Linked DNA regions of Callithrix jacchus. The protein of the gene in region 2 purifies or fractionates together with the protein of the main gene of each other region. This does not show direct contact. Links are inferred from orthologs where the notes say so. Each region holds a gene or a part of one and is shown on either strand. Other genes may lie near its edges.

Evidence for each region. The genes of interacting proteins can lie anywhere in the genome.
Region 1: the proteins of RAP1GDS1 (region 2) and RHOC purify together in Homo sapiens (co-immunoprecipitation; 3 studies listed by BioGRID and IntAct, counting the BioPlex papers as one, with this or other methods). This does not show direct contact. The link is inferred for Callithrix jacchus from reciprocal best matches to the Homo sapiens genes RAP1GDS1 and RHOC.

The regions. Positions count from the first base shown.
Region 1 is NC_133508.1:150,668,841-150,672,585, reverse strand, and holds the start of RHOC (rho-related GTP-binding protein RhoC), read left to right. Parts: upstream 1-1,178; 5' UTR 1,179-3,169; intron 3,170-3,745. UniProt on the Homo sapiens protein: Regulates a signal transduction pathway linking plasma membrane receptors to the assembly of focal adhesions and actin stress fibers.
Region 2 is NC_133504.1:99,079,633-99,083,277, forward strand, and holds part of RAP1GDS1 (rap1 GTPase-GDP dissociation stimulator 1), read right to left. Parts: intron 1,418-3,645; coding exon 1,291-1,417; intron 1-1,290. UniProt on the Homo sapiens protein: Acts as a GEF (guanine nucleotide exchange factor) for the Rho family of small GTP-binding proteins (G proteins) that stimulates the dissociation of GDP to enable subsequent binding of GTP.

The DNA of each region.
Region 1 (3,745 bases), on a different chromosome or scaffold from region 2:
AAACTGCTGTGGACCTGTTTTCACATTTGTCAAATGTCTGGATTGTACTTCAGATATTTAAAGTCTGTATGACTCCTAACATTCATTCATTCATCAAATATTTGTTGAGAACCTATTATGTGCCACTCACTATGCTAGACAACCGGGAAAGGGACAGGTTGGAGGAGCCTGGGAAGTAGCAGAGCTAGGCCACCAATTTGGAGCCAGACAGGCTCGGCTGTATGAATTCTTGCTGTCACAAGTCAAAAACATTTGTGTAAGCCGCTTGATTTCTCTGAGCCTCAACTTCCCTACAGGCAAAAGGGGATGGGTATACTTACCCCAAAGATCTGTGATGGATATTGAAAGGGCTGAGCCGTGTAGTGTCCCAAGCACAAGCCAATAAAATGTTGGTGGACGTGCTCATTCTATTCCCACCTCCTCAGCTCCCTTACAGGAAAAGGAGGTGCGCGTGTAGGTAAATATCCTATGCGCCAAGTCAGATCTAGGCGTGCGAACAGAATTCCCACCTGGGATCCAGAAGCATTTCTAGGAGCGCCCTTTGAGAAGTAGGTAGTTATTCGACTCCTGGAAATTCCAGGCCCGGGGAAGAAAGGGAATTGTGAGGAGGAACGGTGGTCTGGGTCTGAACGGCTCTGAAAGGTCTTCAAGTCTGGGGATGACGTTGAGCTGTACTTACTCTGCAACGATTCTGGGAGCAAGAGGGTGGACATCCCCCCCGCCAACCCCCACAACCGCGCGGGCCCCTGGGGCGTCCCGGGCTGCCCTTTCCCAGCCCCGCCTCCCGCGAGGTCCCAGGTGCGGGAAGGACGGGTAGCCGCTTGGCCACAGGGGGGCAGCAGCGGCCCTTCCTGACCCCACCCCGAGCACCTCTCAACTTTCCCGACGCCGGTCCTCCCCTAGGGGCTGGAGGCTGGGCAGGGGCTGAGTCCACCCGGGTCCTGCTCGCCCCGCTCGCCCGGCTCCTCCGCAGGCCGGGAACCTCCCCGTGGCGCTCCCCGACCGGCAGGGTAGACGCCCCCGGCCCCTGGCCCCGGCCCGCGAAGGGGACGAGCCCCAGCGGCTCTGCGCGGGGCCGGGGCGGGCCGAGCCAAGGGCCGTCCCCGGCCGACCCTCCCCCTGCCGGAACCGCCCTCCCCGCCGCGGCGCTGGAGGAGGGCGGGGCGGGACCCGGGGTCAGTCCGAGCCTCCGGCACCGGCCGCGCAGCTGAAGGCGGCGCAGCGGAAGGTACCCTGGGCCAGGGCTGCGGGCGGCGGGGCGCCCCGGGAACTCGTCCCCGAGAGAGCACTTTCCCTTTCTCGCTCACCCGGAGATCGGGGCGCGGGCGGGGAGGGGGCTTCGGCCCGGGCGTGGACCCCGTTCCCTCCGCGCGGAGTCGGCGTCCGGGTCGGGCGGGGGTCGGGCCGCGTCGGCCCCTCCCCGGGCTGCAGTGGGGGCCGCGGACTTGCCCGCAGGGGCTCTGGCCTCCGGAGGTCCGAGTCGGAGTCCCTTCCCCTCTCCTCCCGGCTTCCCGGAACCTGCCCCGCCGGGCGCAGGGCGAGGGAGCCTCGGCTCAGACGCTGCAGCCCCCGGGGCGGGCGGCCGCAGGGGACCTGGGGTGGGATGGGGTGGGAGTTCCTCCAGGCCGGGAGGGAGTCTTGGCAGGAATAGGAGCGGGATGTGACCTGCCACCGTTCGGCCGGGGCTGGACGCCGCCCTAGACGGTTCCTGGAGCCCGCGTGTGTTGAGGATAAGGGAGATGGGAAGGATCCAACTCGTGTGTGTGTGTGTGTGTGTGTGTGTGTGAGAGAGAGAGAGAGAGAGAGAGAAAGAGAGAGAGAATGAGAGAGAGAGAGAGAATGAGAATCTTCCTCCTCCTTCATACTCGAACCAAGAAACTGTATCCTGGGGTTTGGGGCTGGGGTCCCGAGGCCGAGTTCGCCCTCACTCTGTTTTTGAAGTTGAGAATGCGGTATATCCAGAACGATTCCTTCCCTAGGTTTGGGGTGGGTCGGCAAAGGCAACCGGATCCTCTGGGAATTCAAGAGAGTGATTGGAGAGAGGTCTGGTGTCTCCACACTGTCTTGTTTTGGGGAAGGCCCCAGAAGTTCCAGGCGCCATTCCAGGCCCTGTGTGGGATTCGGTTGCCCCTCTTAAGGGGTCAGTGGGACAGTCCCTCTGGGGCTGCGTCTCATAGGGAGTTGTCCGTGCCATCTTGGCCTTGGGCCTCGTGTACTGGCCTGGCCTGGGCCGCTTGCACTTCTAGCCCAGCCATAGCCTGGAGGGAAAGCGTTCTAGTTGAGCTGGAGGCTCAGGGCCCTTCACCAGCTTTCTGTCCTGTGCCTCCTGCCAGTCTGGTGCTATCTGAATTACCCTGTTGGTGGGACAGCAGTGGCATACTCATACCTGTGACTGACTTTCACCCCAGTAGTGATGGCCTGCCATCAGCACTGCACACCCCAGGTTGGGGCTACCCCAGCGCATCCTTACATAACAGGGCACGGTGAACTAATGGGAGTGGGTGGAGGAGTTGGAAGAAATCTTAGCGTCAGTCATCTGGGTAGAATTCCCAAGGAACCCTCATTTTGGAGGATGGTTTCCATTTCTGGAGGCGATCGGCTGAAATGCCTTCTTGCCTGTCTTTTGGGGAATCCGGGAGAGAGAGCATGAGAATGAGAATCTCATTGTGGCGGAAAGAGTGCAGCTGTGTCCTTTGAACTCCTACAAATTCTCTGCTTTATGTCTGCTGACCAACATCCCAGTTTTGTGAATGTGTGTGGAGGCAAGGGAAGGGCCACCCAGGATCTACTGTTGAAGGAACAGGCCTGGGGCTGGAGTATTCTCTTCCTGAAGGGTAGTGTGAGGTGGTGGTGGGGTATCGGCCACAGAGGAGCTCAGCCCAGTTTGACAGGATGTGGGACTGAGAGAAAAAGCTAGGTTTGGGGCAGAGATCAGGTTACCGGCGCTTTCTCAACTGCTCCCTGCCTGGTTGGTGCTGGGGCTGGCCCTCATTTGTCTCTTCTTTTGGGGCTCCTCCCAGCCCAGACTCTGGCCCCTTCCCCCTTCCCAACAGCCTTGACTTCATCTCAGCTCCAGAGCCCGCCCTCTCTTCCTGCAGCCTGGGAACTTCAGCCGGCTGCAGGTCAGCTCTCCTCCCCAGGGAAGGAGGAAGTGAGGGAAGCTTCAAAGGTGTGATGAACTGTGCAGATGCTCGTCCTTCACCAGCTAGGGGTGGGGGACACATGGAAGCTCGGGGAGCTGACTCCTTGCCCTGAGTCACAGGGAGGGGTGGGCAGGGCCCACGGATGAGCTGGACTGAGGGAGGAAGGGGCTGTTCCAGAGTGGGTGGAGGTGATTCCCTGGTGGATGCTTCTCAGTCGCTGTGCTGTGGTGGATGCGTGGCTCCCTACAGTGTGGTCATTGTCCCCTGCCGGGGGCTGAGTGACCCAGCGTTGCTGGCAGGCCCAGGGGGAAGGGGGAGGAAGGCAGGCTGCCCAAACTCGAGCTGTGGGCACTGCTGGGACTGAGCCTCCTTTGTATGACTTGGGGCTCTGGGGACCGGGCGGGGTGGGCCAGGGAAGCCGGCTGGCTGTCCTCTGTCTGGGTTTCCCTGCTTCTGCTCTCCTTCTCACCACTGAGGTGACATTTTGAAGAGGCACGGTTTTGAGTCACACCGTCCTGCTTTGAGTCACACAGTCCTGCTCTGGGTACTATCCCTGCCGCTTATAAGCCACGGCTCTGAATCTGTGTCTTAACCTCACTGAG
Region 2 (3,645 bases):
TATAATATATAAAATATGTGTTCACTGATTATTATCAGTAAGGCTTCCAGTCAACAATAGACTATTCAAGGAGACAGATATCCTCTACACCTTGACTTGATCATTACACACTCTATGCACATAAAAAAATACTCGCATTAGTGTTTCCTCTTTCTGGAATCAAGTTGGAGGATCTATTTGTCCCAGTGTGAGAATTATGGATATAAGTCATCAGTGGGAATTAAGAGGCTATCAGTTAACAGTGTTTACCCAAATGGCTTTGAATTGGATAGGACATCCCTACTAAGTGTAAAGTCCTTTGTGTAAAGCAGCCTTAGGCCTTAACAACAGGACATGTGACTCTGTTACACGATCCCTGACTGTCTTGGGTTAGCTCCTAAGCCATCTAGTTTATGCTATTCATAAACTAGATGCCTATGAATTAGCTTCTCATGAAGAATTCTGCTCATTAGAAATGCTATGTTAGGGTTGGGCATGGTGGATCACATCTGTAATCCCAGAAATTTGGATGGATCACTTGAGGTCAGGAGTTCAAGATCAGCCTGGACAACATGGTGAAACCCTGTCTCCACCAAAAAATATAAAAATTAGCCAGGTGTGGTGGTGCGTGCCTGTAATCCCAGCTGCTCAGGAGGCTGAGGCACAAGAATTGCTTGAACCCCGGTGGCAGAGGATGCAGTGAGCTGAGATTGCGCCATTGCACTCCAGCCTGGGCAACAGAGCAAGACTCCTTCTCAGAAAAAACGAAGAAAGAAATGCTATGTTAGATCGAAACTAATTGAATTATTTAGCCTCTGCTTTGGGGGAGTTCTGAATGTAAAACATGCAGGAGTAAGGCAATGCTACCAAGCCACAGAAATCACAGTGATCGAGATGCAGAAGGAGAACAGCAAGAATTAGCAGTAGAACCAGCAGAGATGGAAGAGAAAATCTGGGTCTCTGGGAGAGTAGCAGACTTCTCATGTGCTGTCGAATTCTAAATATTGTTTGGTTTCTCTGTGAAGCCGGCTGAAAATGTTTTCTCTATTCTCTAAGTGGCTGTAACTTAAGGCACTATTTAAAAGTTAAACTTACCTTAATGCATTGCCCTAAAAACGTTACCAAAAACACAACCAAAGGGGACAGCTGTAACAACCTAGATAGAATGGTTTTCCATAGATTCAGAGAATGGTACAGACACACTAGCAAAATGCTTTCAGTCAAGTTATGTTTGACTTCAACTCCATTTCTATGCTTCCTTTCATCCAAGATAAAAATAGAAGAAAATAAGTTTGTCACTGGAGTACTTACCCAATTCTAAAGCTGCTATTAATGCCAAAGCAACAAGGGCTTCATTCTGCATTATTACATGTTCACTAGTTGCCATGGTAACTAGATGCTTGATGCCACCACTCTGCACAATGGTTTTAATTACATCCTACAATAAATAAATATCACAGAATTATAAACTTTAATTTTAAACATAAAGAACATGCATTAAAATCAGTCAACTCATTGTTGAGTGGTTTTGCGACAGTGTCCTGTATGAATCATTTTATTTAATCGCAGTTTTTTTTTCACCACAGAAGGAAAGGAAAAAGCTTTTAGCTTTAAATAAATTTATCAAAAGATGACAACTTAAATTGCCTAAGTAGAAAAGACCACTGTAGTTCATATTAGAAAACAGGAGGTTTAGAAGCTACCAAAGCCAAATAAGTAAAAGTACCATTACCTCAAATGTTGACCTACCTTAGGACTGACAAACAAAAATACAACTTAGAATTTTAAAAAGTTCTCAGCTGGGCATGATGACTCAGGACTTACTCCCAGTGCTTTGGAAGGTTAAAGGAGGATCGCTTGAGACCAGCCTGGCAACATAGCAAGACCCCACCTCTACCAAAATTAAAAAAATTAGCCAAGCATGGTGGCACACATCTACAGTCCCAGCTACTCAGGGTGCTGAGGTGGAAGACTGTTTGAGCCAGGGAGCTCAAGCCTGCAGTGAGCTATAATCACACCAGGCTGCACTCCAGCCTGGGCAACAACAGAGTGAGACCCTGCCTGTTAAAAAAAAAGTTATTTTTAAAGTTTCACGATAGGACCAGGTAGTTGTTCTGGAGATGTTCCAGGTAAAGCTTTTATATAAAAAAATTATTAAGTACTTCTTACCCCTTGATTTGATCTTATAAATTTAAAAACTGAATTACTTGCAAAAAGACTGAGCAGAACTTAAAATTCTCCACCTGCCTTCATTTCTCATGGTGCTTAGAGCTCTGTCTTCTCTCCATGGCAGAGGAGGCAGCAAGCTCTGGCTTCAATAAATCCTACTGACTGAGCAAATAATAATTTGCTCTCTTATCTCAGTAATATCATCAATGTCATTGAAATGATGTAAGTATATATCTCATAGTTTTTTGTAATAATTACAGTTATTACACAAAAAACCATACTATCTTGCAATAGTAAGATGAAAAAAAAAACAATGTTCACCTTTATTTCTAGTACTTATTTTGGTCCTCATTCCACTGAGGGTTCTGTTGTCTTAGAACTCTTGCACTAAATCTGATTTAGTGGGAGATCTCAATTATAGAATATTTTAAAAGTAATTTTCTCTGCTACTTTCACTATTTTTAATAATTTGAATTAAGGTCTGGATATTTTAAAAAACAGCCTCTGAGTCAGCTTCAATGATATATGTTGTAGTTAAAAATATTAGGGTTTCCTTTATGCTTCCATTTCATAACCATTATTTGAGGAAACTATTTTTCCACAGTATCTTTGCTTCGAGCCCAAACTTGTTTAGTGATCAAACATGCTAAATCAATAGAGTCCAAGAACTAAGTTTTTATGGTAACTGTGTTCTGGCATCTAATACATCTTTTCCTATCAATCTGTTTTAGAAAGGTTTTTCTAATCTCCCTAATTTACTGTTTACTCAGCAAAAGTTTACTTGAAATTGATATAGAATTCTTAGTAAAAAAAATTGCATAAAAATCACAAAAGAGCTTGAGTAAAGAAGACCACAAGACATGAACAGATACATATGCAATCATTTAAGGAAGAACCTTAAACTATCATTTTGTCCTCTGTTTCCAATCACCCTTAAAAGATAAGTGAAGCAGAAGGAAGAGTAGGGAATGAACTAAGGAAATGTGTACATCAGAAATGAATAGTGCCCTCTCTTTGGCCCAGGCATAGCTTCTTTTCATCTTACTTTTCCAGAACATTCACCTGAGTATTTCCTTTTTAAAATTCCTGCCCTCTCGCCAACTAATTCAGCAAATGTTTATTGAATAGCTATTCTATGGAATCACTTTGCCTTATAGAATATGGGATAAAAAATAGATAAAACACTGTATTTGTCACATGTGACCGAATAATATTGACGGCAACCCTTTATGGAGCAATAACTATATGCTGGACATTGTACTGAGTAGCTTATAGATATTAGCAAATTTTTATCCTGCAGAAAATCCTATTAGCTAGATATTATCTCCAGGTCATACAGATGAAGGAACTGAAGCTCAGATTAAGTCATTAAAGTTGCCCAAGTTCAGATAATCAGTAAGTGGTAAAGCCATGGCTCAAACCCAGGCAGTTTGGCTGATAACTGGGTCTTTGTTCTTAAAAACTCTGGAGATGCTTTATAAAGTTTGAAACAATGTT